Arabidopsis thaliana: one gene and its partners. The protein of the gene in region 1 interacts with the protein of each later gene in a pairwise test. Each region holds a gene or a part of one and is shown in the gene's direction. Other genes may lie near its edges. The genes, in order: UPS1, SUT4 and ACA2.

Region 1 (10,007 bases):
ATAATAAAGTTTTTTTACTACCATTTGTATCAATTCCCCCCCCCCCCCCAAATAAAAATGAGAGCAAACACTGATATTAAATTGAATCAAAAAACTTTTAAATAGTGAAAATATATACCCTAAATTGGAAATAAAAAACCCAAATATAATACTACAAACTAATTTAAAATGAAAAATCTCTTTAAAATGATTGAAAATATAAACCCTAAATTGAAAATAGGAAACCCATATATAATACCATAAACTAATATTAAAATGAATCAAAATTTCTTTTAAATAGTTGGAAATATATACCCTAAATTAGAAATAGAGAACCCAAATATAATATTTTAAATTTATTTCTAATTTATTTTGGTTGAATATATTTTTATATAAAATTGTGGTATTATTATTGTCCATAAAACTTGTTTTTGTGTTACTTTTAAGAATTTCTCAAATAATTATTTGAGTGCTATTTATGTCTAAAAAACTTTTTAATGCTATTTTTTTCAAAAAACTTAAAAGTGTGCTATTTGTGGGAATTTCTCAAAAAGTAAATTAGTGATAATATTTTTAGAACAAAAACTTTAGAGTAAGTCAATTAGTGCTATTTTTGGAAGTTTATGGAGTGTGTGCTATTATTGTCCATAAAACTTGTTTTAGTGCTATTTTGAAGAATTTCCCAAAAAACTATGTCTCTTATAATTAAATAATAAAAAAGATTCAAAAGTAAAGAAGATAAATTTATAAACAAATGTGTAATCAAAACAAGGATTTTGCAAAATGGAAAGATATGACACAACAATTAGACAATACATATACTGAATTTCAAATTTCAAATTTCAAATTTCAATAAGTTGTTTAATGTTTATAAATTTATATATTAAACAAATATTTTTGATAAATCTGATGTTCGTATTCATGATACATCTATCATAAAATAAATATTTTCTTTAGTTAAAATTAGCAAAACAAAACAAGGATTTTGCAAAATTGTAAGATATGACACAACAGTTATAGGTACATATACTGAATTTCAAATTTCAAATTTTAAGTAAGTATAGATTTATTTAAATTTAATGTTGTTTTGTCATACCGATGTAATTGGCTATATAATATTTTTTGAGAAATCTGATGTTCGTATTCATGATACACCTATCCTAAAATAAATATTTTCTTTAGTTAAAATTAGCAAAATAGAATGTGTAAGATTGAAATTTGTTTTTTCTTTTAAATATTATATTAAATATAAAAAGTGTGTTAACTACGATTTAGAGCTCATATATCATAAATTAAAATTAGCATTTTTTTTTTCTCACCCGCCTATTTAGGCGGGCCTTATCTAGTTAATTATAAAAAGACAATTGACAAAAATAGCACCAAAAAAGAGTTTTTTTCCAAAATTAGCACAATATTTCTGAGATTTCACAAATAGCACGATAAAGTTCAATTAAACTTAACTAAAATATAAGATTGAAAATAAAAATGAGAGCAAACACTAATCTAATATTAAATTGAATAAAACAATTGTAGAAATATATATCCTAAATTAGAAATAGATAACCCAAATATAATACCACAAACTAATATTAAAATGAAAAATCTCCTTTAAATGGTGAAAATATATACCCTAAATTAGAAATAGGGAACTCAAATATAATACCATAAACTAATATTAAAATGAATCAATTTGTTTTTAAATGGTTGAAATATATACCCTAAATTGAAAATAGAGAATCCAAATATAATATTTTAATTTATTTCTAATTTATTTTGGTTGAATAGATTTTATATAAAAATTATGATATTATTCAAAAAATAAATTAGTGATAATACTTTTAGAAAAAAACTTCATAATAAGTCAAGTAGTGCTATTTTTGAAAGTTTATGGAATGTGTGCTATTATTGTCCATAAAACCAGTTTTAATGCTATTTTTAGGAATTTCTCATTGTAAAAAGAGCATTGCAAAAATATTAAGACAACAACAAAAGTAAGCTCTTTAGCTGATATACGACCACCAACTATCTGGCTATCGAGAAGATCTAATATGCAGGGAAGTTATTCACTAGAATAATTCAATAGATTTGTTTAGTATAAAACTATTATTAGATTGAGTAAATATAAAAATAGTATATTTAAATTTGAGAGGAATGACATATGTCAAATGAATCAAACACCACTTGTCAGTTTTTTACGGTATGAGTTTGAGGGAACCTTACTTATATGTAAATGTATAAAAATAGTTAAACTTAATAGGCGTTCGTTCTAATCCCTAAAACAAAACCTTAGTTACTTTAGCGTATAGGGCAAGTAGGCGCAGACATGGATATGTCGATGAGAGAAGAGAAAAGACCAAAAGTGTTTGATAATCACGGTTGGTCCAAACTTTAATTTGTCCCGCGCGATCTTTGCAAAAGACCATGAAAATATTGATCTTTATTTACCTAAAGATCATCAAGGTGGATGCGCGTAACGATTTGATGAGAGAAGAAAACTGACCAAAAGTATCTCATCATCACGACTGGTCCAAGCTTTGTCTTGACCTTTTGCGAAAAATCATTGAAAGCTTGAACTCTATTGACTACCACCAAGCAAAACTCGTTTGCTCAGATTGGTATTTCGTTTGGAAAACATGCGTGAAACGGCCTCTGTATCCATGGCGGATCATATACTACGATGATGATTCTTCCAGTTTGTTTGATCCCGGTGAAGACAAGATTTACGGGACAAAACTCCTCGGACTCTCTGACAATAGCTATTATATGGCTAGCTCCGGAAACTGGCTCTTGATGGTAGATTCTTGATAGGTTTATAAGGTCGACTACTAGAGAAAGAAGCTGAGAAGATTGGGCTAAGCGAAGCTGAGAAGAGAAAAGAGGAAGTCAACTACTGTGTTGACTGAGTTGACTTAACAAATGAGGGCAAATACTCTTTCCAGTTAGAGGCCTTGAAACTCTTCTTCTATAAATACTGACTCTGTTCTTATCTGGGGATTTTATGCTTTTTATGTTGTGATATTTCTCGAGAGAGAATTGGCCTTGTGATGTGCCAGAGGAAGAGATCAATGTTGATCTCTTGGTCATCGGTTGCTTATATCTATGTTGATCTAAACATAACGATTCTTATCTTCTCTTTGTAGTTACGTAATCGATTCTATCATTACGATCTAGAGTTTCTAGAGTTTAAGGATTTGAAACTTTAACAAGTCTCGTCTTGATTCGAATCTTATTAAAGATCAATCTTCCGTCAATGGAGTCGTCAGTTCGCGGTGGAAAAATAAGATTCGAGCCAAGCAGATACTATAATAGACAAGGCAAGTGGGGATGGTTCGTCCTCCATCCTTTTGGTAAGTATTGCGTGTCCAAACACATGTTGGGAATAACAAGATCAGTTGGTCTTGGATAGATGAGAGGACAGTGGATTATTTAATTGCTTGGACTTTACACAACAGTTATTTGTTCACATACAAGAAAGGAGATGATTCTTGGTGGAACTGGAATGATAAGTATGGGACATCAGCTCCGATGTTTGGGGATTTAGCTTACAAGAACAGCAAGCTTTATCAGTATACTTTGCGCCACTACATCAAGATTATTGATTATTGTTACATACTTTTACTTCACCTTTTTGTTTTGAATTTTTTTTTTTATAATGATTTTAAGACAAGATTGTGTCAGCCGTTGACTTATGATCAACTAGGAACCTAATCGGAACGCAACTCGAGATTCATTTTATTTATTTTATACTACAAAATTATCTTGAAAAATATATCGAGGAAGGTGTCATATCTCATGGAATCCGAATCTGCCAATAATATGAGAGCCACTAGCAATTATTCTGAATCTCCCCAAAGGGAAGAATCAAAAGTTGTTCTCTCTTGTTCTGTCTTTGTTCTTTGTTAGAGTTAGAACAGAAGCTTCCAAAAGGTAATAATAATCTCTTTCAAGAAACTCATTATTAGTCAAAGATGTTTACTTTTTAGTACTCTCTCTGTTCTTCATTGCTTCTCTAGAAACCCAATAGATTTTGACTCTTGCCTTGCCTTTGCGGTTGTCTAAAGATCACAATCCTCAATTTGAGTTTGATCGATCATTAATGTGTGTCGAAGATCAGATAACCAAAAGAATCTTGTTTGGTGCAGAGTTTTTTTCATGATTTTTATAAGTATATAAAAGAGAGATAGAAAGATGTATATGATAGAGAGCAAAGGAGGAGCAATTGCATGTATGCTCTTGGCTCTTCTCTTCTTAGGGACATGGCCAGCAATCATGACTCTAACCGAAAGACGCGGTCGACTTCCTCAACACACTTATCTTGACTACACACTCACAAATCTGTTAGCTGCAGTGATCATAGCGTTGACACTAGGAGAAATAGGTCCGAGCAGACCAAATTTCTTTACACAGCTCTCTCAAGTCAGTCACATCTTCTTACTTCTCCTTAGACATCTTGTCGAAAACTATTGTATAACCGCGGTTTTTTTTTTTATCATAGGATAATTGGCAGTCAGTGATGTTTGCAATGGCTGGAGGAATAGTTCTTAGCCTTGGAAACTTAGCAACACAATATGCTTGGGCTTATGTTGGTTTATCAGTTACTGAAGTCATCACAGCTAGTATCACTGTTGTTATCGGTACACTCTTCTTTCTTCAACTACTCTTAACTGATTTTTTCCTCTGTTTCTTCTCTGTTCTTATGACCATTTCTGTTTTCTAGTACAGGCACAACTTTGAACTATTTCTTGGATGATAGAATCAACAGAGCTGAGGTCCTTTTCCCGGGGGTCGCTTGTTTCTTGATCGCTGTTTGTTTCGGTTCCGCTGTTCATAAATCCAATGCTGCTGATAACAAAACCAAACTCCAAAATTTCAAAAGGTTTGAAAAAGATTCATATCTATTGTTGTTTCCGTTTGGTTTGGTTTGGTACTAATCTTGATCTTGTTTCAGTTTAGAGACTACTTCTTCCTTCGAAATGGAAACAATTTCTGCAAGCAACGGGTTAACAAAAGGGAAAGCGAAAGAAGGGACTGCAGCTTTTCTCATAGAGCTTGAGAAGCAAAGAGCTATAAAGGTTGAAACATACTACTCTTCCTTTACCCTAACAGATATAACTGATATGTATATATGTTCTCTGAAGATTCATGATTGGCATTGAGGACAGGTCTTTGGCAAAAGCACAATAATCGGATTGGTGATAACTTTCTTTGCCGGTATCTGCTTTTCTCTGTTCTCACCTGCATTCAACTTAGCAACAAACGATCAATGGCACACATTAAAACATGGAGTTCCAAAACTAAATGTGTACACTGCCTTCTTCTACTTCTCCATCTCTGCATTTGTAGTTGCTCTGATACTTAACATCAGATTTCTCTATTGGCCTATACTTGGTCTCCCAAGATCTTCTTTCAAGGCTTATTTGAATGACTGGAACGGTCGAGGCTGGTCTTTCTTGGCTGGATTTCTATGTGGATTTGGCAATGGTCTTCAGTTCATGGGTGGTCAAGCCGCAGGCTATGCAGCTGCAGACGCTGTTCAGGTTTAGACAATAAACAAATCCTCTGTTCCATGATTTAAGAGTGAAATATGTTTTACTTATTATGATTTGAATATGTTTCAGGCACTTCCACTTGTGAGTACATTTTGGGGGATATTGTTGTTTGGAGAATATAGAAGATCATCAAGAAAAACATATACACTTCTCATCAGTATGCTTCTTATGTTCATAGTCGCTGTCGCGGTTCTTATGGCTTCCTCGGGACATAGAAAATGAAATTCACTGAAACTTCTTCAAGTTAAACTGCTAAAAGGATCCATTGAAGGAAGAGTTACTTCACCAATGGCTGCAACATGTTCAAGTCTTTGTTTATATTTAACCAAAGTGTTTTCTTTGTTGGTTTCTGTCTTAGGGCTTTGCTAACAACAATTGGTTGTATTGTCTTTGTTTACACATCAGAGAAAGAAAACTATAGTTTATGGCAACTTGAGATTTATTTATTTTATAGAAAATGGGAAACTAACTTCTTCCTGAATCTGGATCTGCCAATCAAATGAGAGACTAAGTTTTTTTTCTTCTGTATCTGTTGTTCTCTGGTCTTCCTCAAAGTCAAAGTTAAGACAAAAGCTTTAATAAGGTAATCTCTTTCAAGAAACCTAGTCAATAGGGAAATTTAATGGAATATAAGGTTTGAGTTTTATAGAGATCTTCTTGTATCAGCATGTGTCTTGTGTTAATGTTCTAAAGAACCTTTCTTAAGACAACTAGCTTCATTTTTATCACGAGAGATCAATGATATGATAACAGAAGAATCTCACTTCTTTACTTTGATGCAGTGGGATTTGGTGATTTTATAAAATGTATGTGATAGAGAGCAAAGGAGGAACAATCACTTGTATGCTCTTGGCTCTGCTCTTCTTAGGGACATGGCCAGCAATCATGACTCTAACCGAAAGACGCGGTAGACTTCCTCAACATACTTATCTTGACTACACACTGACAAACCTGTTAGCTGCAGTTATCATAGCGTTTACACTAGGCGAAATAAGTCCAAGCAGACCAAATTTCACCACACAGCTTTCTCAAGTCAGTTACACATACATTCATACACATATTTGTTGTTGGTTTTTGAAATGCAAAGTTTTTTTGTCACAGGATAATTGGCCGTCTGTGATGTTTGCAATGGCTGGAGGAATATTTCTTAGCCTTGGGACCTTAGCAACACAATATGCTTGGGCTTTTGTTGGGTTATCTGTCACTGAAGTCATCACAGCTAGTATCGCCGTTGTTATCGGTAAACTCTTCTCTTCAACTACTCTTAACTGATTTTTTTCCTCTGTTCTTATTAACTCTTTTGTTTTCAACAACAGGCACAACTTTGAACTATTTCTTGGATGATAGAATCAACAGAGCTGAGGTCCTTTTCCCGGGGGTCGCTTGTTTCTTGATCGCTGTTTGTTTCGGTTCTGCTGTTCATAAATCAAATGCAGCTGATAACAAATCCAAACTCCAAGGATTCAAAAGGTTAAAAAAAGATTCACTATACTAGGTCTTTGTTTTGTTTTCTTTTGGTTTGGTTTTTAACCTAATCTGATCTTGTTTCAGTTTAGAGACTACTTCTTCCTTCCAAATGGAAACAAGTTCTATAAAAGAAGGAAAAGCAAAAGTAGGGACTGCAGATTTTCTTATTGAGGTTGAGAAACAAAGAGCCATAAAGGTTAATAATAATACACACAGCATTTTCCTAAACAGAAATAACTGATATTCACTGATACTCAAGATTTGCGTTGACAGGTTTTTGGGAAAAGCACAATAATTGGACTGGCGATAACATTCTTTGCCGGTATCTGTTTCTCTCTAATCTCACCTGCAGTAAGCTTAGCGACAAACGATCAATGGCACACTTTGAAACATGGAGTTGGCACACTTTGAAACATGGAGTTCCAAAACTCAATGTGTACACAGCCTTCTTCTACTTCTCCATCTCTTCATTTGGGGTTGGTCTGATACTAAACATCATATTTCTCTATTGGCCTATACTTGGTCTCCCAAGATCATCTTTCAAGGCTTACCTAAATGACTGGAACGGTCGAGGCTGGTCTTTCTTGGCTGGATTTCTCTGTGGATTTGGTAATGGTCTTCAGTTTATGGGCGGTCAAGCCGCTGGTTATGCTGCTGCAGGAGCTGTTCAGGTTTAAGACCTCTTTTCTGTTCAATGATTTAAAGATTGAAAATAAACATTTTGGGGGATACTGCTGTTTGGAGAATACAAAAGATCATCAAGAAAAACATATACACTTCTTATCAGTATGCTATTTATGTTCATAGCTGCAGTCGCGGTTCTGATGGCCTCATCGGGACATCGAAAATGACTAAAAATGCATTCCACAGAAACATCTACAGACTAAAAGCTTCACAACTTTGGTTTATAAACTTGTAAGATACGGTACTCTTGTATGAAGGTAAAGTGAGCAACATGTTCAAATATATCATTGGTTAAATTTTAATCGATGGGTTTTGATGTTATATCGTCAGTATAAATATATACGTCTCGCATTAATTAGGGTTTCCGTGGTTCTTAACCCTAAATCCAAACATTAGGTCAACTAGAGTGTGAGGCACGTAAGCGCAGACATGGAGACGCCGAACGATTTGGTGAAAGAAGAGAAGAGACAAGGAGCTTCTGAAAATCAAGATTGGTCCAAGCTTTGTCCTGATCTTTTGCGACCGATCCTGGAAAGCTTGAGCTCTATTGATTTTCATCGAGCAAAAACCGTTTGTTCAGATTGGTATTCCGTTTGGAAAACATGCGTGAGTCAGTCTCTGCGTCCATGGCAGGTCACATACCTTAACGTTGTTTGATCACAAAGAAGACGAAAGTTTCAAAACAAGAGTCCTCCGTCGTCGCTTGAACGGAAGATATTGTATGGCTAGCTCCGGGAATTGTCTCCTACTGGTAGATTCTGGTCTCGATTTCTATATTTTGAACCTGTTAACGATCAAAACGATCAAGATTCCATCTATTAGACGAAAGGGCTGTAGGGAACACTCTTTAACGACGACAACGAAGAATGCAAAACAACAGCTGTTCTGTGGATAAACGAGAGAACAAAGGATTATTTCGTTGCTTGGATTAATTTTTCAAACAGAAATACTTGTTCTCACTCAAGAAAGGATATGATTCGAAGTGGAATCAAAACAGTGGAAGTATTTTCGATATGGCTTATAAGAACAGCAAGCTTTATCTGTATACTTTGGATCATCACATCAAGATTTATGATTTCTCTGGAGATTCTCCCAAAGAAGAAGGATTGACAAACCCGTATTCGAATCATCCATTTCGCTTCGATGAGAAACCGCAGGAATACATTTGGAAGAGGAAAATAGTGATTGCAGAATCAGGAGAGGTTCTTAAAATCTGAGCTTAAAAAAACGGAAACAAAAGGAGACTAATGAAGAGGAACTTTTGTTTTACATCTTTAAGATGAATCTTGAAAGTGGCAAATGGGAGAGAGTGCATTCTATTGGAGATGATGAATGAGATGTTGATCTTTGGTCATGGGGTTACAATGAGAGCACAAGTTCATGATGTTGGTGATGGAATCAAGAGGGATTCAATCTGTTTCGTTGAAGATGATCTTTGGCCGGATTTTGATCGTCCTTCAAATTGCGGTATCTTCAATCTTGCCACAAGTAGAATAACATGGCCTAAGAGATACGGTGTTTACATAGATCAAAAACAATGGTTTCTTCCAGGATTTGCTTAGTCTTTGTTTCACTAATGCATGTTCTTCCAAAGTTTAAGGATGACGGTTCAATTTTCTTCTCTGTCTTATTTTTTCACTAGTTTGAATTTGCTTCGACATAGAATGTGATGGTGTCTTCTGTGTTTTGCTTTTCTTTCTCTTAAACTTATTTCTTATCATTAATCTTAAACACATCCAGTTGTTTCACTATAGAGGTTAAGCCTAAGCTCAGCAAAAGACATTAGTTGTTCATCTTTACATTAGAAGCTACTACATGCGTCTTCTTCTTCTTCTCTAACATAAGTTTTCAGAGAGGGAATACTTTCTTGTGCTTGAAGTATAACACAAAACCAAAATACAAAAAACCGCATCCAATACCTGTTATCAGTAAAACATACTGGAAAGTCGTCGGATTCTGGAAAACAGAGTCTTGCAAATTCATCCCGAAGACAGCGGTTACAGCGGCAAAAATAGCTGCCACAAAGGTTGCCGCGGTGAGAAGCAGTTGAAACTGAATCAACTGATTCTGCACATTCCCCTACAAAAACATGGACAAAGTCAGAGACCCAAAGAGAAACAAGAACATGATTACGAGACTTGATTTTGTCTGTCCTTACCAGCTTAATGTTGATCAGATCCTCTGTATCATCTATATACTCTTTCAGCTGCAAACACAAGAACATGATCAAAATGATGAAACAACATGTAGTTGAGTTTAAAAGAAAGATTAAGAAGAATCTAACCGATGATAATTTGCTCAGAGTGTTATCAACAACGACAAAGTAAG
Region 2 (10,919 bases), on another chromosome or scaffold:
AATTCTAATTATGTATGTGAAAACGGTATCTAAATCGGCGGGTGGTGAACACGTTTTTATTTTTTATTCCTCAACGCCAAGTTTTTTATAATCTTAATCTTTGTATGAGACAATAAAATTGAAAAATCTATACGTGTAAATACTACACATTATCATCCGGGAAAAAAATCTGAGAGGCTTAACTTCTATTTAGGACACAATTCATGACGTGAAGAAGAAGAAAAGAAAAGAAAAGAAAAAACAAGTTTTGTTTATTATGCTTAACGTTTGAGTAATTTGATTGCATTGACATAACGTTTGTTCAATACCTTGGTTTGAGAATAATATAGTTATAATATTTAAACAACGACATGATATAACCAGTTGACATTTGTTTGCATAATTGTTCTTTTTCTTCCTTCTTTCTGTAATTGTTTAAAATTAGTAGCAGCGATATGTTTTTTTTTTTTAGTATATATAATCATTTATTGTTTTCAGATAATCATTTAAGTTTCACTAAATTGGAAGGAATAAATGAATAATGACTCAAACCACAATGTAGATAGACTTGTGGAAAATTCGAATCTATTACAACATGTCAACATACAATACCTTTGTGTATGTAAACTAGACTTGGATTAAAAATAGTTCAATCCATTCTTCAGTTAGAGCATTGTTTGTTTATATTCTTAGGCTTATCACGTATGAAAAAGCCCATCAAAGCTGACTTTTACTCCCTCATCTGGCAATCTCTAGGAAGCCTCTAAAGTCAACGCCATGCCTAACAATAACATTGACCAATTTAGCCAAGAAAAATATGCATCTTTTGAAATATTGGACCTCCTGTATTCGATTTGCAGAACTACGAACTCTTTTTGTATCCCGTTGTTCACTGTTGTTGGCCCAATGCTTTAAGCCCAGTTTTGTGTTGATAAATGGAATAAAAGTAATATTTTTTCAACAATTACATGTCAGCAAGTTAGTAAAGTACTATAAATGACATGGCGACCACATCATAAGCTACGTAGGATTTTGAAAGCAAGTACTGTGTACTTTTGACATTTTTTGGTCTGATTGTAAAAGTAACTGATGAGATTTAGTAAGAACTGATTTAAGGAAGAAACGAGAAGCCAAAAATAAAAAACATGACATCATATCACTACAAACAAAAAAGCCCAATTCTCAAATCTTTTAAAAATCATAAATCACCAAAAGGAAATCTAAATCTCAGGATCAAGTGGTTGAGCCCGAAAAACAAAAATTAGTGATGACTCCATCGTTGTTGAAGAAGCAGAGCAAAGCAAATTAAGTATCTTTTTTTTTAAGCTCTTTCTTGGTCTCTGTCTCTCAGACGGAGGTGAAGCTGTCCGATTGTCCTCAACACTTTAATCGCTTGCGGCGGAGTAAGAATCTCCACCACTTTCCCCACCGTCGAACACCGTAGCTGATCAGCGTTGTTCATCGCTGCCGCCATCCCAGCTTTAAGCACCTCCATCGCCTCCTCCAAATCCGTTTCTTCTCCGTCCACCATTCCCACCGCTCCCACGCGCCTCGCCGCGAGCATCACCGGCGGATCCGCCACGCTTTGTTGCACGAGGGCGAAATCTCGCATAACTTCTCTCTCTTTCCTCCTAGTCTCCGACTTAAGACTCGAGATCCGGTCTTTCTGGTGGCGCGTGAGGTCGGCCACGGAGACCTCGGTGAGTTTAAACACAAGAGAAGGCTTGAAATCGCCGACCCATAAAATAAGTTTAGCGTAGGAGTTAAACCACGGTGGGCAGAAGAAAGTGAAAACGTTGTCCCCGGCGAGGGAAACGGAGGCGAATTTCTCTTGGTAGTATTGAAGACAGTGAGATAGAAACTGGGCCACGAGAGATTGTTGTTCTTCGAGAGAGATACGATTAGTTTCATCCAAGGAAGAAGCACACATAAGCTGTTCAACGAAATACCTGTGACGGATTAACCAACCATCAACGAAGATAGTGAAGCTTTGAGAGCTGCTAGTGTTTGGCATGTTTCTTATGTTTGGAGTACTCACTAAGTAAGTATGGACTGTGAGTGTACGTTGTGCAAGAATGTTTATATACTACTACATTGGGCTTGACCAAGAAAAATCTTTTAGGAATTAATTTACGATATGTCGGTCTATCGACGATGTGTCGGCGGGCGAAATGGATTTTTGTGACTTTTGTCTTGTCGGAGTGAAGTGTAATCAGAGCAGCGTCTTATCATCATTTGCTGTTGTTATTCAACTCTGGTTTTAGAATCAAGTTGGGTTAAACAATAGTATAAAATTTTAATATGGATGAAAATAAAATATAAATTATCCTTGGTAATTATTGATTATAACCTATAGAATCGACAAAAAGAAAGACTATAACCTAGAGAATTTTTTTTTTTTTTTAAAACAAGTGTTCATTAAAAATCTTTAAAATATTTAGTCTGTTTTATAATTAAAATGTTTATATCTGAAATTGTATCTATCACTACTAGTTCCAGTTGGAATTATATATCTGTCAGGGTCGCATCTCGATATTATGGAATGACCTAAAATAACATCTGAAGAGGAAACCGACACATGTTGGTAAAATAAGAAGGCACACGTCATGTAAAGAAGATGACATATGTCAGGAAAGGAACATGTCCTTACAAAATAGAAACCAAATAAACCAACAGTTCATAAATGCTCCAGTTATGCCGCGAGCCATCTTTTCTTCTTTACTAAGAAAATTTCTACATTATTTTAAGATTTTTCTTTTCCATGTAGTTGTCTCATACTTCCTTCGAAAAGATCTTTCTCTAACTTCAACCTTGGGGATCGAGCAACCATATTTCAATCAACAGATTCTTTCATCACTCTAATAACGGACAAAAAAAGAAAAGATGTCAAAAAAAAAAAAATTGGAATATGCACGTTGATACTATAAGTTCATTTAAATCAGTCGTTAGAGTAAACCTTATTGAGAGTTCAAATTCATTTAAAAACCTGATGAGATAATTATATAATTTCTTATAAGATTTTTTTTTCTTGTAAGAATTTAACGAATAGAATTTTTCTCTCTATTACTTAAAATTCCTCCTCGTCAAAAATTGCAAATGCTTGGCAGTTTTACCATTTTCTCAGAACTACCGTATGAGAAATAAAGTACGTATTAAAAAACAATACAAGCTTTAAAGATAAAAGAGGCAACAAATTTTTTTGACAAAAAAATTAGATGAAAAGAAGTGACGACAAATAACTGAGAAAACACGTTTTGCAAAACTAAAAAAAAAAAAAAAAAGAGAGAGTTGGAAAATGTTTGGAGCTGGTGGGCATTAGTTGGCTATGCAACGCACGGACGCGGATACTTTTCAACTCGTTGCTTACGCGGCCACGTTTTCGTCACAAACCGTGTTTCTTTTGCGGCCTTTTAAGTTTTAATCAAACATTTTTGTTTTCATTTGAATCTTTTTTTTAAGGCGGTTATACGAATAAAATCATTAAAAGGAGAAACGGGCCTTCATGTTTAGGTTTTTGTTCTTCCTCATTTGGGTTATTTAGCTTATTGGTTCAGCCCACAAGAGTTTCCTTCAATGGATAGGGCCTTCAGTTGCATGCCATCATCCTTTCTTGTTTCTCTATAAGCCATTTTTGCAATGAGAATTTCTCAATTTCTTATTTTTGCAATAAAATCATTTTGCCTTAGATGATGGTGGAATCATCCGTTTTTCTTTATTTTGACCCGGTGAGTAATTGAACGCAAAAAATAGTCCAATTATTCAAAACCTTACAATTTCATATCGCCATAATAAACCTAAACATGATTCGAGTGAGCAACTACATAAAAAGGGGAACGAAATGTTGGTACAAAACTGAATTCCAACCCAATCAAGTGCATACTAAACTATTGAGCAAAAACAAAGATAAAAATCAGTTCACCTACCCTAATTAAAACATGATTAGGCCTAAAAGACTATAAGTAAAGATAAAAAAGATGCCATTTTAGAGTACGTTTTGGTAAATTGGCGCCATCGTGTTATACGTTTAAACCGTATAACCTGAATCATGCAGCACGTGTACGGCTCACATTGGCCCAAGCTTGATTAACAAACAATAACGTCATTTTCGTATTTCAACAATTTTGATCGCTCAATCCTTTCGACCTAATTTCCATATTAAGTAATTTATTAGTTAAAACAACGGACTCAACCAAATTACATATTAAGAGAATATTTGAAAATTGTCTATGTAGATGAACATGTATTTGAAAATTGCGTAAGCACACTCTTTCTCTCTCTCTTTTTTTTTTTTTTTTTTCCCCCTCTTCTTTCTTTGAATAAAGATGACATTTTTTTCTGTTCCAAACACAAAACTGCATATTGATAGTGTTATTGAATACTCAACGTCTCTTCTTCCAGCTTACGTAAGTGGAACTTACTTTTTGCCCCGTGATCCAACAGAAAATGACGAATGCTCCCTCAAAATCATTTCGTTTCAACAAAAATATGTATTTTATCCATAGAGAAACAACAAACCTTACACTATATACCCTCTTTTAACGTGCCCACTTTTCATTATTTACACAATTTCCCCAACAAATTTAAAACAATTTACAAAAAGCACTCAACTTTCCTAAAGTAGATTCCTTTAGTCCAATGGAATTCTTACAACATCTTCTTCTTCGCCACCTTTTTCTCTCCACTTTAAGCTTTTTCACTCTCTCTACGCCACGACGACTGTGAAGCGAGAAATGGCTACTTCCGATCAAGATCGCCGTCACAGAGTCACTCGCAACCGTCCACCAATAGCTCGACCCTCTACTTCTTCATCTCGTCCCGTTGTATCTCCTCCTAGATCAAAAGTTTCGAAGCGTGTGCTTCTCCGTGTAGCTTCCGTCGCATGCGGGATTCAATTCGGATGGGCTCTTCAGCTTTCTCTCCTCACACCTTACGTTCAAGAGCTGGGGATCCCACACGCTTGGGCTAGTGTGATTTGGCTTTGCGGTCCTCTCTCTGGTTTGTTCGTGCAACCGCTCGTTGGGCATAGTAGCGATAGGTGTACTAGTAAGTACGGTCGTCGGAGACCGTTTATTGTCGCCGGAGCTGTGGCGATTTCTATCTCTGTTATGGTTATTGGTCATGCGGCGGATATTGGATGGGCATTTGGGGATAGAGAAGGGAAGATTAAGCCGAGGGCGATTGTTGCTTTTGTTTTAGGGTTTTGGATTCTTGATGTTGCTAATAATATGACTCAAGGTCCTTGTAGAGCTCTCCTTGCTGATCTTACTGGTAAAGTTCCTGACTTTAGTGTTGATTGGGTCTTCAATTTGAAATCATTCAAATGTAGTAAATTTGGGATTCTCGTGATTATACACTCACATGCAAAACATGAAAATGCATAAATTTGTGATTTTGGATACAATTTGGGGTTATATAATTACCTAATTGGTTCCTAACAATCAAAAGGTCCCTTCTTTGTTTCTGGTCGGTGGCTTATCGTTGAGTCACAGAGACTTTGTTTTTTCTCTTTCCCTTGAATCAAATTGTGGATTTTGGTGAAGTTAATCGTAGCCTACGATTGTGTGATAACCTCATGGAGTGAAAACAAAGATATGTTGTGTTTTAATTCTTGTCCTATTGCTTTATTTTCAGAGAATGATAATCGCAGAACCCGAGTTGCAAATGGCTACTTCTCTCTCTTTATGGCTGTTGGCAATGTTCTTGGCTATGCTACTGGATCATACAATGGTTGGTACAAGATCTTCACTTTTACGAAGACAGTTGCATGTAATGTGGAATGTGCCAATCTCAAGTCTGCCTTCTACATAGATGTTGTCTTTATTGCAATAACTACGATCCTAAGCGTCTCAGCGGCTCATGAGGTGCCACTTGCTTCATTGGCTTCTGAAGCACATGGGCAAACCAGTGGAACAGACGAAGCTTTTCTTTCTGAGATATTTGGAACTTTCAGATATTTTCCAGGAAATGTTTGGATAATCTTGCTTGTTACAGCATTGACATGGATTGGTTGGTTTCCATTTATTCTGTTTGATACTGATTGGATGGGTCGAGAGATCTATGGCGGTGAACCGAACATAGGGACTTCATATAGTGCTGGGGTCAGTATGGGTGCACTTGGTTTGATGTTGAATTCTGTTTTTCTTGGAATCACTTCTGTGCTCATGGAGAAACTTTGCAGAAAGTGGGGGGCTGGTTTTGTTTGGGGAATATCAAATATCTTAATGGCTATTTGCTTTCTTGGAATGATAATCACCTCATTTGTTGCGTCTCACCTTGGCTACATTGGCCATGAACAACCTCCTGCCAGCATCGTGTTTGCTGCTGTGTTAATCTTTACAATTCTGGGCATTCCATTGGCGGTAAGTTTACTCCTGTAATTCTGCTGTCATGTTACTTACACTATTACTTATGATATTTTGCCTGCTCATCTGTAACAACATGATGAAATTTATTTACGCTTTCGCTGTAACTAATGCTATTGCTACTCTTCTGCAGATAACTTACAGCGTCCCATATGCGTTGATTTCCATACGTATTGAATCCCTGGGCTTAGGTCAAGGTGTGCAGGCTTATCTTTGGGTGTTGTTTCTTATAAAAGTTCTGTTGTGTTGTTTCTTAGAAAAGTTCTGCTCAATGATTTTACTCTACATATGAGTGTTGTTTCTTATAAAAGTTCTGTTGTGGCAGGCTTATCTTTGGGTGTGCTAAATTTGGCGATAGTCATCCCACAGGTACACTTCTTTCAACCATCCTTTTAGCATTATATTTGCCGCAACTCAAAATCATATTCTTCTTTGAATGTTTCTGCCTGTAAAAGGAAGTCTATAAGCATAACATGCAGCAGAGTTACTGCATTATTTGTCAATTGTCATTAATAAACGATTCGTTTTTTTAGTTATGGTCATTGGCCAGTGATGAAAGTACACTTTTTATTTCTCTATATTAGTTGATTGATGAATTTCTTCCCTATGTTGGTTATGGTTTTTGGCATCAAACTCAAATTCTGTTGTTCAATCATTTATGTGTTTGCAGGTAATTGTGTCTGTTGGCAGTGGCCCATGGGATCAACTGTTTGGAGGTGGGAATTCACCGGCACTTGCAGTAGGAGCAGCTACAGGCTTCATTGGCGGAATTGTAGCTATCTTGGCTCTTCCACGGACAAGGATTCAGAAGCCCATCCCTCTCCCATGAGATTCTCTCTTTTGTTATATAAGGTAATAATGTCACAATTCTTTCACAAAAAGTACATAGTAAGCACTTAAGTTGTCACTGATTATTAAAAGCGGCTAATGCGAAATAGATGAGTGTCAAGCGAGGAACGCATAAGGGGAGTGCTTGGAAATGGCAAGGAGATGGAACACTTAATGTGATCCTTGTCGAAAATTCGTGCAATGGCTTCTCGTGTGACTAACTTATTTGCAGCTACTAGGACTTAATCCCCTCTACTTTGGGGACTATGATCCTTGTATACACGAGGCACCATAGAACCAATGAAAATAATACATCATTCAGTTTGTGAGGTATATGCATCTCTCCTTTATTGGAAGTTCCAGTTCGGGATCTTCTCTGTTTTTTTTGTTGTTGTTGTAAATTAATGTAAAAACCTGTGTACAACAGAGTGTTTGTAAGGGCCCCTGAGTTCTGTAACTGTTTATAAAGTTCATTTTCTTTAGAATTAGTTTGATAAAGAAAACCTGAGATCCAAAAAATTTACATGATCTGTGTAGCAAAAGTAGAAAGGAACCATTACGAGTACTAGTAGTCTCTATAGTAGCAGTAACCACCAATAGTCAGCAATAGATTAGGATGACTCTTGGGAATATTAAGACCATCTCCAATGGTTAAGAAGTAATTGGTTCTTAACCAAACATCTTAACAATTATTTATACTAAAATTTTGAAACATGACATGTAACTGTTTTTTTCACTCATGAAAACTTCTTAGCTAAGAAGCAAATCTTAGTTTTTAATTTATTTTGATTTAATTTTCAAAGTTTAATTCTAAAATATTATTCTAAGATACACCTAAGATAAACCATTGGAAGTGCTCTAAGCCTAGTAGGAAGGAATAGTAGCAAATCCCAGTTTTCTTCTTGAGTGAGATGTTTGAGATTGAAATTACTGTAATGCTATTGAGATTCTGTAGGCAGCGTATCAATAATTGAGAGAAATAAGTAGATGCTAATACAGCTTGAGCAATACTTATCCTTGTAAAATTGTGAATGATTCCAGAGTTAAGTACTTTGACCGTCCAATAGAGATTGTGTGAGAGTATGTATAACAGATATCATAATTGGTTTAAACTGAAAATAGAAAAAAAGAAAATAAGCTGTGGAGTAGTAATATGCCTAAAGAATTTAGAAAAAGGAATACACGTGTGGAGGAGGAGCACAAGGGACCTAAAAAGTCTGTTGGGATTTGGAGAGGCCCTGGCTAATATCTAAGAAGTGATATATAACAAAGGACAAAAACGTGGTTTACTCTCTGTCTGTCACCGACTCTCTCTATATTCAAAGTCAACTAGGGCGGCTTTCACACCTCCCTGCTTCTAGACGAATGGCAAATCTTATCATCTTTTTTCTATTAACAAATTCGAGGTTAGAGTCTCTAGCTGCATGCACTACGATTTCAAAATTCTTAAATCTCGTTTTCTAGTATAATTAAATTTGAAGTCTTTTTTTATACTAACTTACTACTAAGCATGCTTTTTATCCTTCTCTACGATATAATCTAATACGTTCTCAACTACACATAACCTTTTTTAAAAGTGTATCTAAAATCTCAACATACTGATTTAAGTATCACTCATTTGTGTATAACAGTTGACACTTTTGAGATTAAGAAATAAATAAATTAAGATGGTATTAAAGTTTAATACCAGTAGTTGAAATAGAAAATTCTGAAAGAGTAATACTGTATTTTCTTCTTATTTTGGGGGTCAACACAGATCAAGAAATTCAAGATTAAAGTTTTATGATGTGTATCTATCAAGAATTTCTTTTTTTATGATGAGTACTACTGATCATGGTTCAAGAGAAGATGTTGAGGTTAGTACTCTTCACCTTCAAGAACAAATACATGAGATTCTCAACAACAACCAAAAAAGAAGCATGAGATTCTCACGTGGTTAATTAATTGCATAAACGTACGTAATTAGTATTGCAAGATGTTAAGATTGTTAGAATGCAAGTGAAAATATGATGAGATCCTTGATTTTTAACCCCGCAGTACATTTTGGATGTGTAGATAATCCCCTTCTTAATTTAAAATATGATCATTTTAATATGTGTAGAAAAGTGGTTATTTTGGTATATTTTGTTATTGTAAAATGTGATCAAATCCTTCTGACGAAGAAAGAAAGATGAATCCCCATTCTCTACCTTATGTTATATTTAGATTGTGTTCTTTTTATGAAGAATTGGGTTGTTGAAAGCATTCACTGTAGGCCATTTGATTCATCCCTTGTCGCCTTCGGATTTACATAAGTGGAGAGTTTTTTCTTCTTCTTTAATTAACCTTTTTAGCTTTAGCTGAAAGAAAATAAAGTAATTGCCTTTTTGTATGCAACAAAGCAATTAGCTTTTACCTTTCAAGATTTTCATATCACAAGAAAAGCTAAGTGAAGTCCACCCTGTATTTTTTGACAAGTACATTTTATCGTCACGTCCATGCACTTGCACTATCATATAACAAAAATAAAATAAAAATAAAAGTAAAAGAATGATTTGTCTTTTCTTAGGCTTCAATTATTGGATAACTTATTTCATCAAAAACTTTTTCTTTTCTTTTCTTGTCTGTTCTCTAGTATTGCCCTCTTTTTCCATGAAGCTTCGAACGCTTTGTTGACTAGTAAAATGTGAAGACTCCATATTCGAAATAATTCATTGACCAAACAAAGATTCGTCGATTGATAGTTACGGTATGGTTAAAATTATCAATAAAGATCAATCTCTTAATATATAGTTTCACATCATGCAATCAAATTTTCTTTCACCGTGGACTCGTGAGAGAGAAAAAAAAAGAAGAAGCTGTGGTTACTTATTTGTACAGTCTAAATTTTTTTTTCATATATTAAATGATCCATGCGTACGTTAAAATTTGTCCCAAAAAAAAAATGTCATAATCTTTTTTATTTATTAATATAGATAATTTTTTATCGCGCCTTATCGTCGGTAAATATATACGTTTTATTTGATTTTTGTTTTAAGCCCTAAGATTTTCAGGATAATATAAACCAAGATGATTAGAGCCAAATGAGAAAACTGCTCTGGCTTAATTTTTTTCTTTAAAATCACTGAACTAGGTTTTGGTTGTGTAATTCATTGAAATTTTTTCATATCTGTCCGAATTGTTATCATGGTTGTGGATCTTTCTTTTTAGTATATAGCCTAAGAGTAATCTATTATAGTAATTCTAGTTTTACGCTTAATTAGACCATCTATATATATTATTTCTAGTTACGTCACCTAATCATAAAAGACTCTACAACAGCAAGCTAGGGAAACACAGTAGCAAAGAAAGTTTTTTCTTACTGATTTTCAAAGGTTTGAAACACATGTGTTTGTTTGGACTCACTAGTGTCTTCTGGCGTGGAATCAATTATTTATGTCTCCACCTAATCAGAATATGACAAATGAATACTCGCAACATAAACATAAAAATAACGCTCTAATGATAATTCTTTTTTTTTATTGTTTTATGTCGGAAAAAGAAGAGTCCACCGAGAAAAAGAGCCCTCAAACAAATTTGAACATGGCAATTATGGAGCGGCAGAATTTAATTATTAGTCCTATAGTCGATATATTATTGCATTACCTAATGTGTACACACACAATATAAGGTTGGTTAATTTGGTAATCAAACTAAAGATTTAGAATGAAAATTTCCTTTTAAAAAAATAGCCATTTGTTTTGTTTTAAGATAAGAGCTAAGACATATAAC
Region 3 (11,968 bases), on another chromosome or scaffold:
TCATCATATGAATTTGAAAACGACATGCATGTTATATATACTTACAGATATGGCGTAAAATTCCGAAAAAAATCCGTATATAATTACGATGTTTGTTTATATATAGGCCAAATACATGAAACCAACCAAGTGTTTCAAGTACTATCGATCCCAAGTCTCAACTGGTGTAAAATAAAAAGACTCTTTACGCATCCTAAATCAACAGACTAACAAAAAAGTTAGAATGTCCTACTAATACCAATTCTAACCAATCAAAACACCAAACTCATAATCGTTTTAGACATTCCGCGACTACGTTACTATCAACACTGGTGCATGAAAACTCTATTTTCTCTTAATCGATTATTTTTAAGAAATTAGTGTAAGAGTTCTGAACGCTCTGAATTTTTGACATCAATAATCAAGAAATTAAACGTTGACCAACAAAACAATGCTAATTAAAGAATTTCAGATCCAGACTAATTTTCAAAACATGTGAAAAGCTAGCATCTACAATGAACAAGTAGATTGAAATTGCAAAAGTTTCATGACCATTTTGTATGATACCTATAAGATATATACATGATATATAAATACTTAAGTGGTCACCATTTACATAGTAACATAGAGACATGTGAATATAATTATAAAATAGAGAGAGAATGTTCATAGGTGTGAGTGAGTGGGAGCAGGCGTGAAGAAAAGCTGACGGCGTGCATCAACATCATCAAAGCTCCACATTTGCCTTTGCCTCCTAACCTCTCTCCATTCTCTGCCACTATTTTTCCCTTTTCTCTCTTCTTCTCCATATATACCTCTTTACTATTTTAGATTTTCTCAAATATTACTATTTTTTTTTCTTCACATTTACCCGTAAGAAACCAACCAATGTGTCATATTCTCTTACCTTATATAAACAGCAATGTGTAATTATTATCTCAGAAATCTAGGGCATGCTTCTTTGTTTTCTTGTTCTTCAATCCTACTTGTTTCAATTTAAAACCCTCTCCACTAAGTCATGCCATTTTTGTTTAGAGTCTATATACCCTTCATTGTCCTCTCTTTGAATCTCCCACCTGAGGACTTATTATTCTCTACACTTATTTAGATTTCCCACTTTTTTGGTGTGTGTGTTCATATTTATCCATATGTCTACTGGTTTATGTATATGCGAACCTCTAATTAACCAACGGCACTTAATGCATAGGCTCATCATGATTTTCTCGTTTGTCTCGATACAAAGCATTAATCTTGTCTATCCCCCCGAGCTCATGCCCATTGTTTAATTTCGTTTAAAATCCCGAAGTCTCAAAATTGGAATAATTTGATCGCCACGTACGTAGCACCATTATAAAAAATAAAATAAAAAATCTAAAAACTAAATGATGATGTTATTTTGTATATTAACAAGCAAACCTACATTACATAACTCTCCATATTTTCTAGTATGTAGGAAAGTTTCGGACATATTTAGATATATGCTATATCATGCTAAAATTCCAAACTAATTAATGAAGAAAGTGATCAAATCTACATTATAGCCTAGGCTAGACATAATGCAGTAGATATTTACATCTTATGAGTCATCACCATCTCTGGTAGATCAAATGTTCTCATGATCAGTTTCTTCTACAATTATTAGAAGAAACCCCACGCTCTGCTTCTTTGTCCCTTTCTTCGAAACCTATCGAGTGTTGCAATTCAGTTTCTTATGTAATTTCTCGAAATCTGTTCTTGCATTCTAGGAAAAGTCCCATCTTAATCTTTTGAAGAATATATATATATATATATATATATATATATATATATATATATAGTCGATAATAATTTCGGTTATATGTGCCACTATGTTTTATACACAACACCAAACAGCCATAGCATAAATGCATAATTACATTGTTTATGTATACAGTAGACCCTAATTTGTTTCTCGCATATAAACCCATATTCATTCGCTAATTTGGTTGTTATGCATGCCTGTATGCTAATTAAGATTTATATACTTGGAGAAAACATCTTCCCCATGGTTAGGATTGTTTAGCCCCAGAAATGAACCGTTAACTTATCTTTTTCGATTAGTAATGAAATGATCAAATATTTTTACAAAAATATTCTACTATCCTTCAATTAAGCCATAGACAAAAAAAACCTGTAGGTCTCCCATCAATCACACAAAGGTAAAAAAACAGACTTTTAGGTGACCAATTTCGTACCATTTTGTAAAATCTAAATCGGAACAATGTAGAGCAAATGATGTAGAAAATATCATACATTATTAGAACCAACTCAATCAAACCTAACTCAAAATAATAATTTTGACATGACTATTCCCACTAAAACTACATATAAGTGACACCGGCTAAAGTTTTTTAAAAATTGTACGGCATACCAAAATCATGGAGGTTGATATGATATGTGTAGAATCATCCGAAAAATATATATTTGTGAATTTACACAAATTTATGGGTCATCAACGTACGTCTAGACCTCTTTCAAACAACTTTTTATGATTGCAAAATGTTATTTGGTTAATGGATTTCGTAACACAACAAATATCTCATCAACGAACTTCGTCCACCACTTGAATATGAAACCAAGCTGGTTTTCTTAGTCCCATATATAACTGAATTTTTCCTTCCCTAGTCACACTTTTAGCGATAGCAGGAGCAGTGACATCAGTCCGAACCGCGACCAAGTGAAATTACAACCTTCAAAACCGTTGCTAAACTGTGATTTTTTTATTTTTTTGGTAATGGCTAAACTGTGAATTTTATCCAGCAGATCACAGAATCTTGGCAACTTATGGGGTAACGAACTAGCTTCCCATGGCAGAGTGACAATCGGAGACCACAACCACACGAGCAACTTCAACGTCATCCCACAGCTGTTCCAATGCCTGTCCAACACATAACTCAGCAGAATCGCTTAAAGAAAAAAAATGATTAACAGTTTTATTGTTTATTTTTCTTTCTCAAAAGCATCCCAAATATTTTAGAGAAGCAAACATATACCAGAGCCCAAAATTTGTTAGGCCCTAAAGGCCAATAAAGCAAACAAAGCCGTGTAAAGAAAGATCTTAATAGCTTTCAAGGCCTATAAAGGCCCATTCTAAGCCCAAATCTGCATGTCCAACTTTTTTGAAAGTGTCATTTTCCATGAAGTCAAGGTAAACGCATTATTCAATTGGAGAAGAATAAAAAACACTAGTTATTGAACTAGAATGATGAACAGAGACATAAGCAATTAGTACCAAACGAATAATAAAAAGACATAAAGCAATCAATGTTTTTGAGTCCAAATAGAACCAATGGGCTTGGTCCAACGTGGCGTCCCCGAAGTGTCGGGTTTTTTGCAATAGTCTCTGGGTCAACGGTCCTCCAATTTCTCTTTATTTATATAAACGACCCCATTTCTTATTATTGTCAAAAATCACCGCACTTTTGTCCCACAATTGTCATTCAATTTGGTCAAAGTGAAATCAACGTGAGCAGCCAAACAACAAAAAACCAAAGCTACGAAAGGTAAACTTCTTAGAAAAATCTTGCAAAATATGGTCCAATTAAAACTCTCTGTATATTATATTCCATTTTTTTCTATACAGTATATATTATATTGAGTAAATCTAAAAATTACGTCATTTACTCATCCATAGTATTTTACTAGTTTTTAAACCTTTTTTTTTCTGTAATCTTCTAATTTTTTTAATTATAAAATGTCCACATTCATTCACAAATTTGGGAATAAAAACCAATCATAAACTCAACAATAATAACATAAACGCGTAATGTACTCGTCATGGCCTGCATGAATGTTTCAAGAATGATTTAACGTTCGTTATAAATGGAAAGTAGTGCATGTCTTTATTTAATTATTCTCTTCAATAATAAGTCGAATGTTTTTATTAAAAATGTAAGAGAAACTTTGTTGGACACACGAATTTAAAACGAGTCAACTCAGCTTCTCATCACCAAATGTTAATAAACTCAACGACTCGGTCAAATGCTTAAGCAAAAAAAACTCAGATCTTTGAATAAAAAAAAACTTTACCTTTCTTCTCCATTAAAAGCTTCCGATTTCTCTTCTTCACCCACCAAAAAATAAAAAGGTTCCTTTTTTCTTCTCCACCAAATATACAGAAGAATTTGAAACAGAGAGCCAAACAAAAAAGCCATTGAAGCTGGAAGACAAAAAAAACAGAGGAGATTGAAGAAGAAGAGGGAGTAAGAAGATGGAGAGTTACCTAAACGAGAATTTCGATGTGAAAGCGAAGCATTCTTCAGAGGAAGTGCTTGAGAAATGGCGTAATCTCTGTGGCGTTGTTAAGAACCCTAAACGTCGGTTTCGTTTCACCGCTAATCTCTCTAAACGCTATGAAGCCGCCGCGATGCGTCGCACCAACCAGGTTTTGTCTCTTTTCTTTTTCTTCTATGTCATCGTTGTTAATGATTTTGTTGAAATCTTCGAACTTTTAGATGGATTTTGTGTATAGCGATGAAGGATCTTAAAAACTTTCTATATACAGGAGAAATTAAGGATCGCTGTTCTTGTTTCCAAAGCTGCTTTCCAATTTATCTCTGGTGAGTTTATATGTGATCAAAGTTGCTGATTTGTGTCAAAGTTTCGATTTTTGTTTGTTTGTTTGTTTGTTTATGTGAGTTTTTGTTGTAGGTGTTTCTCCAAGTGACTACACTGTCCCTGAAGATGTCAAAGCTGCTGGCTTTGAGATTTGTGCTGACGAATTAGGATCAATTGTTGAAAGTCATGATGTTAAGAAGCTCAAGTTCCATGGTGGAGTTGATGGGCTTGCAGGTAAGCTCAAGGCATCTCCCACAGATGGCCTTTCTACTGAGGCTGCTCAGTTATCCCAAAGGCAAGAGCTTTTCGGAATCAACAAGTTTGCAGAGAGCGAAATGAGGGGTTTCTGGGTGTTTGTATGGGAAGCTCTTCAGGATATGACTCTTATGATTCTTGGTGTTTGTGCTTTCGTGTCTTTGATTGTTGGGATAGCTACTGAAGGATGGCCTAAAGGATCACATGATGGTCTTGGCATTGCGGCTAGTATTCTCTTGGTTGTGTTTGTTACAGCTACTAGCGATTACCGCCAGTCTTTGCAGTTCCGTGATTTGGATAAAGAGAAGAAGAAGATCACTGTTCAGGTGACAAGGAACGGGTTTAGACAGAAACTGTCGATTTACGACTTGCTTCCTGGTGACATTGTTCATCTGGCGATTGGAGATCAGGTTCCTGCTGATGGTCTTTTCCTCTCGGGATTCTCTGTGGTGATAGATGAATCGAGTTTGACTGGTGAAAGTGAGCCTGTGATGGTGAATGCGCAGAATCCTTTCCTTATGTCTGGAACCAAAGTGCAAGATGGATCTTGTAAGATGATGATTACTACAGTTGGGATGAGGACTCAATGGGGAAAGCTAATGGCGACTTTGACCGAAGGAGGGGATGATGAAACTCCACTGCAGGTGAAACTCAATGGAGTTGCTACCATCATTGGCAAAATTGGTCTTTTCTTTGCGGTGGTTACTTTCGCGGTTCTGGTGCAAGGAATGTTTATGAGGAAGCTTTCAACGGGAACTCACTGGGTCTGGTCTGGTGATGAAGCATTGGAGCTCTTGGAATACTTTGCTATTGCTGTGACAATCGTTGTGGTTGCGGTTCCTGAAGGATTGCCTTTAGCTGTGACTCTAAGTCTTGCGTTTGCCATGAAGAAAATGATGAACGATAAAGCTCTTGTGAGGCATTTAGCAGCATGTGAGACTATGGGATCTGCAACGACGATTTGCAGTGACAAGACTGGTACACTCACAACCAATCACATGACCGTTGTGAAGTCTTGCATTTGCATGAATGTGCAAGATGTAGCAAATAAAGGTTCTAGCTTGCAATCAGAAATCCCGGAATCTGCGGTGAAGTTGTTGATTCAATCGATTTTCAATAACACAGGAGGCGAAGTTGTTGTCAACAAACATGGGAAAACCGAGCTTTTGGGGACGCCAACAGAGACTGCTATATTAGAGTTGGGGTTATCTCTTGGAGGTAAGTTCCAAGAAGAGAGGAAGTCTTACAAAGTGATCAAAGTTGAGCCTTTCAACTCCACAAAGAAGCGAATGGGAGTTGTAATCGAGCTTCCTGAGGGAGGACGTATGCGTGCTCACACGAAAGGAGCTTCCGAGATTGTTTTAGCTGCTTGTGACAAAGTTGTAAACTCGAGCGGTGAGGTTGTTCCACTTGATGAAGAATCAATCAAGTATCTGAATGTTACAATCAACGAGTTTGCTAATGAAGCTCTTCGAACTCTTTGCCTTGCTTATATGGATATTGAAGGCGGGTTTTCGCCGGATGATGCAATCCCGGCTTCTGGATTTACTTGCGTAGGGATTGTGGGAATCAAAGATCCCGTACGTCCTGGAGTTAAAGAATCTGTTGAGCTTTGTCGCCGTGCTGGAATCACTGTGAGGATGGTTACAGGAGATAACATTAACACCGCGAAAGCAATTGCTAGAGAATGTGGGATTTTAACTGATGACGGTATAGCCATCGAAGGTCCCGTATTCAGAGAGAAGAATCAAGAAGAGTTACTAGAACTGATTCCAAAGATTCAGGTGCTTTTTGTTTCATGAACTAAAGACTTAATTTTTTTTGTTTAGTTTTTGAAACATAACCTTTCCTATGTTCTTATACAGGTGATGGCTCGTTCTTCACCAATGGATAAGCATACACTTGTGAAACAGTTAAGGACAACGTTTGATGAAGTTGTTGCTGTCACTGGAGATGGAACAAATGATGCACCTGCACTTCATGAAGCTGATATTGGACTAGCAATGGGAATTGCTGGAACTGAAGTGAGTATATGATAAGATTTTGTTATGTCATTTGTGAGAGCTAAAGAATCTAAAAGTTTCTATCTGTATAACCTTTTAGGTGGCGAAAGAGAGCGCTGATGTCATCATTCTCGACGATAACTTCAGCACGATCGTCACAGTTGCTAAATGGGGACGTTCTGTTTACATAAACATCCAGAAATTCGTTCAGTTTCAGCTTACCGTTAATGTTGTTGCACTGGTTGTTAACTTCTCTTCAGCTTGTTTAACCGGTAGGTTTAGTAAGAATACCAATTCAATGTCTCGAAAAGAATCATTTTGGATTCCTTGTTTGACACAGCTCTTATGATAATCTTCAGGAAGTGCTCCTTTAACTGCTGTTCAATTGTTGTGGGTGAACATGATCATGGACACACTTGGAGCTCTTGCTTTAGCTACAGAGCCACCAAACGACGAGCTGATGAAGCGTTTACCTGTTGGAAGGAGAGGCAATTTCATCACTAATGCGATGTGGAGGAACATTTTAGGACAAGCTGTTTACCAATTCATCGTAATTTGGATTCTCCAAGCCAAAGGGAAGGCTATGTTTGGTCTCGACGGTCCTGACTCAACTCTCATGTTAAACACTCTTATCTTCAACTGCTTCGTCTTCTGTCAGGTAAAGAACAAAGATTACTGATAACAATACTCGAGCTATAAAGATAGATTCTTGACATGACTTTGGTTCTGAAAACTCCAGGTGTTTAACGAGATAAGCTCGCGAGAGATGGAAGAGATCGATGTTTTCAAAGGAATACTGGACAATTACGTCTTTGTGGTTGTGATCGGTGCAACGGTTTTCTTTCAGATCATAATCATCGAGTTCTTGGGCACATTTGCAAGCACAACACCACTCACAATAACACAATGGATCTTCAGTATCTTCATAGGTTTCTTGGGTATGCCAATCGCCGCTGGACTGAAGACGATTCCCGTTTGATCGTTCCATCAAAATTGGCTCGAAACCACTCTTTAAAGATCTCTATATTAGACCAGTTACTTCAAAGTTTAGAACGGACAAGTCTTCTAACAAAGTTTTTGCATTATGCAATGACTCTGTTTTTTATTCTTGACTTTTATTTTTCAGTTTGATTAGTGCTATTAAGGACAAATATCTGATTTCCTCCATTTTTGTAAAACTCTCTGTATCTTTGAAATGACACTTCTCTTTTCTTTCTTTTTCTCATTTTTGGAATCTAAATTTGGTCTCTATTGAATGACAAATGCAAAAATACAGAAAAAGGACATTGAAAAAACAGAGGAAGCAAAAGGTTAAAATAAGAAAAATGATTATTTGGGTACAAAATTGTTATCTAGCCAGACTGTAATTTGATATACTTAGAAAATCTCTCAATGAAGTCATGGCTTTTAGTGGGAGCCTCTTCTCCTGACATCATATCTCATCAGTCAAAACTGATTCCATATAACAATTCCAAAGCCTGTCAATCTCAAAACTGTAATAAATAAGAAAGACTCTTCTTTAAGAAAAGAAAAAAACATTTTTAAATGTTATCAATTTAGGATCTCTATGAAGTAAAACCATTTTTTAGATTGAAAAAATGAGTATACTATAGTCATTTGTCCCTTGTAGGCGTATAGGTAAATTATAATTTCTATGTGAACATTAGACCGGTAAAATATTCTATAACTAATTGTTTAAGTTTGTGATCGTGTGAATAAATGTTCATAAATAAAGGACTAATTAATATCTAGAATGAAAATAGAATTTACATAAAGATTAGTTATTTTTGTGATATTTCAATCTCACTAGTCATTAGTTTATCCATCTCCTAACCAAAGTGAGAGTTGTAACTAAATTGTGTTACCCGTGAATCTCACATATGTCTACACAAAACCCAACAGAAACAAAATGGTTTAACTCAATGATAATAAGCAAAAAAAAAAAATAACAATTGGGACATACTAATATTCATTGAAAGATAGGCAACAGAAAATTCAGAAGCATTAACTAGTTCTTGGTGAAGTAAAGCTTGACCCTTTATGCTTCTTGATTTGTTGAATAATCTCTTAGAGCAACAAAACATTGGCCTTAAACCACACACACATTATCTTTAATTATATTCTGTCAGTACTTTATGCTTCTTAATTTGTAAGAATGCATTTTGTTTGTAATAAGTCTTTTAATTCGTTGCTAATCATTTTGGAATTAAAGCTTTAATTAATGGAACCAAAACTTTGGATCCCAAGTTGTATTGTATGAGACAGTTGTTTCTCACTTAAACAAGTCGTTGGGTTGTTGTTTCTTCAGTCTATTACACATATGTTTTTTTTTTTTTTTCTCAACTGCATTTCATTGAAAATATTAACAATAATCCTATAAACACACACAAAAAAAACAATCTACCTCTATATGTACGAGTACGATGCACTTTTGACTTGCGCGTAGAATAGTACGTTAACTTAAAAACATCACATGCAAATTTCTGTATAAATTGGGGTTTCATCTTTAGATCCAATCATTGATCCAAAGTACTTCCACAGTTCCACTACAAGTTGTTGGTTTCTATAATGCTAAAGAAAACTTATTGGAGCAAAATATATATCCGTTTTAGTTTATCGTGATCGACTGATTGTCAATTCGTAAAAGTAGTTATCTATCAAAGATAAGTAACGATGATTTTTCCTAAACAAGAAAATTTTCTTTTTATTTGATTAATTTTTTTCCAAGATATTATATATTGAGATTTGAGAACATGAAAAGATCACGAAGGACTTTGTGGAATGGACATAACATGTTGAGTAGCATACAGATGGATTCACTTTGGAGATGACCAAAAGTGTCAATAAAGATAAGAAAATAAATATATTTATCAAATATAAAATAATTTTACCTTACCTTAAAAAGAGTTTTTTCATTTATTATTTGCTATGAATGAGCCCTTTTGAAAGTTAAAGAGGTTAAAAAAATGGACTTTGATGCCAAAAAAAAAAAAAAATCTATGACAAAATTTTGTAATATCAAATGAAAAAGAAATTGCAACATAACAAATAAAAAAATAAGACAATAAAAAAATAAAAGAGGATGTGAAACCAAATCACTGGCACTGCAACTATTGGCCTAAAACTATTCACCCTTTCTGTTTTTCTTATTTATTTACATTCACTCCTCATATTTCCTAGATTCTCTCAGAGAAGCCCCTAATGTTTTAATAGTCACATTTCATCCCCAAGAAATCCAAAGACCTTCATACGAAGAACCTATATGAGTTACTTCATAAAAATTGAAATAACCGATGTATTCAGACCATTTTTTCTCTATAATCAAATGATTGAATATAAAACCAAATCAATATGTTGCCAAAAAAGAAACCAAATCAATATAAGCCAAAACTTGAAGAAGAAAGAAACTCTCTCTTCATAGCCTACGCATTCTCTTGGCTGGTGGAGAACTTTGATCAGAATCATCAAAAGACAATCGGCGTTTAGCGCCACTTCCTGAAGCCGGCGGTTCGCGAGAAACCGCTATTTCCGGTGGAGGTGTCATATGTTTCCTCTCCTCAATCTCTAGCGTTCTCTGATAACACAAATATACATTTTCCTACAAAACCCAACACTCCTAAGATTATGATCATCAACATCAAACAATCAAAATCGAATAAAAAGACACCAAGATTTATACATTCTCATTAGAAGTCCACCAAGAGATCGAACCAAACTTGTTAGCTATCTCTTCTCTAGTCAATCTAATATCCGATGAGGTAGAAGAAGAAGCTAGCAATGTAGTAACAGCAGCAACAACAAACTGTCGATACTCCGTAAAACTTATCTCTACATGGAAACAAAAATGTGATATCAATAAATGCTTTGATCTTGAGAAAAAAATGTGTTTCTTAATAGAGTTACCTTTAGTTAAAGCAAGAAGAGAATCAGAGGATCTTAACAACACCAAGTCTTTAGAAACAGAATGGTTGTCCTGAGAGATTTTAGCAAGGAAGTAGTTGAAGTAATGAAAAGGAGTGATCAAGTTCATCTTCCAGTCCAATGTGGATAGAATCAACAGTTCAGTTTTACGAATGACATCGGGTTTGAAAACGAAGTCATGATCTTGAGGGTATTGTGATAAACCAGGAACAATACGTTCCTCCATTTTAGCAGCTAATGATAAACAAGCTACTGATAACAATCGCATCGCCCATGTTTCATCTTTCTGCAACTACAAAGAAACCATCTTTAAGCTTTAATCTGAAGATAAAGGTGAGATTTTTATAGATAAATGAAACTGGAGATTGAAACTTACACCGATGAATCTTTTGTGGAGAAACAGATCGAAGTATGAGATTGCAATGTAAGCTGTTTGATGTTGGAACCCAAATCTTGTTCTTGTCTGAGATTAAGACAAAGAACCAATCAATCAGAGATTAAGACAAAGATCAAAAAAGGGAAAATCTTTTTGAGATTACGGACAGTGAGAATCCAATCGATGGCAATCAATCTATCGGAAGACGACGTCGTTTTAGAGGGTAGGGTTTCGAATCGGAGATTCTCTTTAAGAACAAGGTCTGCCACATAATCTTCATCATCGATCGTAGTAGTAAAGTGAGGTTCTTGCTTATCAGATCTCTCAATCGTCTCGTCGTCGTCTTCGTTTAGAGAAGACTCCGATTCGTGGCAGAGGAAGAGAGCGAGACTGTCTTTAGGCTCACCCATTTAACGGCGGCGATGATGATGAAGACGACGGCGGCGGCGGAGATAGAAGTGTTCTTCTTCTTCTGCTTCTGCTTCGGTGGTGTGTCCGTACACATCAAAAGGGGAATTATAAAGAATTTGTGAGAAGAGTGTTTTTTTTTTAATTTATGAGATGAGAGGCAAAGTTATCGCAGTGAATATAGGGGAAGAATAAGAAGGGAAGCTAAATCATCGTATTTGATTTTTCTTCCATTACTCGATTTGGGATTTTAGGAGCAAGTGACGAAAAAACAAAGAAAAAAGAGAGAGAGAGTGGAGAGAGAGAGAGAGTCTCCCGCGTCTGGTGCCGCCAAAAATAAGTGGGGGAGAGAGAGGGGGCGTTATTTAGCGGTTACATTTAAATTAAAAATCTTTATTATTTGATTAATTTTAGGTTTTATTTGTTCACTAATATTTGAGTATATGTATAA

The links.
Region 2: the proteins of UPS1 (region 1) and SUT4 interact in a protein complementation assay, tested with the Arabidopsis thaliana proteins (one large-scale study listed by BioGRID).
Region 3: the proteins of UPS1 (region 1) and ACA2 interact in a protein complementation assay, tested with the Arabidopsis thaliana proteins (one large-scale study listed by BioGRID).

Annotation. Positions count from the first base shown.
Region 1 is NC_003071.7:1,090,962-1,100,968, forward strand, and holds UPS1 (ureide permease 1), read left to right. Parts: upstream 1-3,740; 5' UTR 3,741-4,167; coding exon 4,168-4,395; intron 4,396-4,474; coding exon 4,475-4,613; intron 4,614-4,701; coding exon 4,702-4,855; intron 4,856-4,927; coding exon 4,928-5,051; intron 5,052-5,141; coding exon 5,142-5,516; intron 5,517-5,597; coding exon 5,598-5,750; 3' UTR 5,751-6,015; downstream 6,016-10,007. Other genes in the region: AT2G03580 (F-box family protein-like protein), read left to right, coding at 2,303-2,354, 2,591-2,772, 3,215-3,326, 3,432-3,520; UPS3 (ureide permease 3), read left to right, coding at 6,333-6,560, 6,630-6,768, 6,845-6,998, 7,080-7,191, 7,283-7,672; AT2G03610 (F-box family protein), read left to right, coding at 8,109-8,285, 8,645-8,881, 9,005-9,241; MGT3 (magnesium transporter 3), read right to left, coding at 9,528-9,758, 9,838-9,885, 9,964-10,007. UniProt on the Arabidopsis thaliana protein: Proton-coupled transporter that transports a wide spectrum of oxo derivatives of heterocyclic nitrogen compounds, including allantoin, uric acid and xanthine, but not adenine.
Region 2 is NC_003070.9:3,239,549-3,250,467, forward strand, and holds SUT4 (sucrose transporter 4), read left to right. Parts: upstream 1-4,437; 5' UTR 4,438-4,709; coding exon 4,710-5,247; intron 5,248-5,610; coding exon 5,611-6,338; intron 6,339-6,474; coding exon 6,475-6,538; intron 6,539-6,666; coding exon 6,667-6,710; intron 6,711-7,011; coding exon 7,012-7,170; 3' UTR 7,171-7,193; intron 7,194-7,279; 3' UTR 7,280-7,668; downstream 7,669-10,919. Other genes in the region: RAS1 (RESPONSE TO ABA AND SALT 1), read right to left, coding at 1,301-1,993. UniProt on the Arabidopsis thaliana protein: Responsible for the transport of sucrose into the cell, with the concomitant uptake of protons (symport system). Can also transport maltose at a lesser rate. May also transport biotin.
Region 3 is NC_003075.7:17,679,048-17,691,015, reverse strand, and holds ACA2 (calcium ATPase 2), read left to right. Parts: upstream 1-3,910; 5' UTR 3,911-4,207; coding exon 4,208-4,381; intron 4,382-4,501; coding exon 4,502-4,556; intron 4,557-4,647; coding exon 4,648-6,593; intron 6,594-6,674; coding exon 6,675-6,833; intron 6,834-6,912; coding exon 6,913-7,084; intron 7,085-7,171; coding exon 7,172-7,470; intron 7,471-7,551; coding exon 7,552-7,791; 3' UTR 7,792-8,157; downstream 8,158-11,968. Other genes in the region: CYCD5;1 (cyclin d5;1), read right to left, coding at 10,228-10,410, 10,492-10,640, 10,716-11,025, 11,110-11,196, 11,277-11,519. UniProt on the Arabidopsis thaliana protein: This magnesium-dependent enzyme catalyzes the hydrolysis of ATP coupled with the translocation of calcium from the cytosol into the endoplasmic reticulum.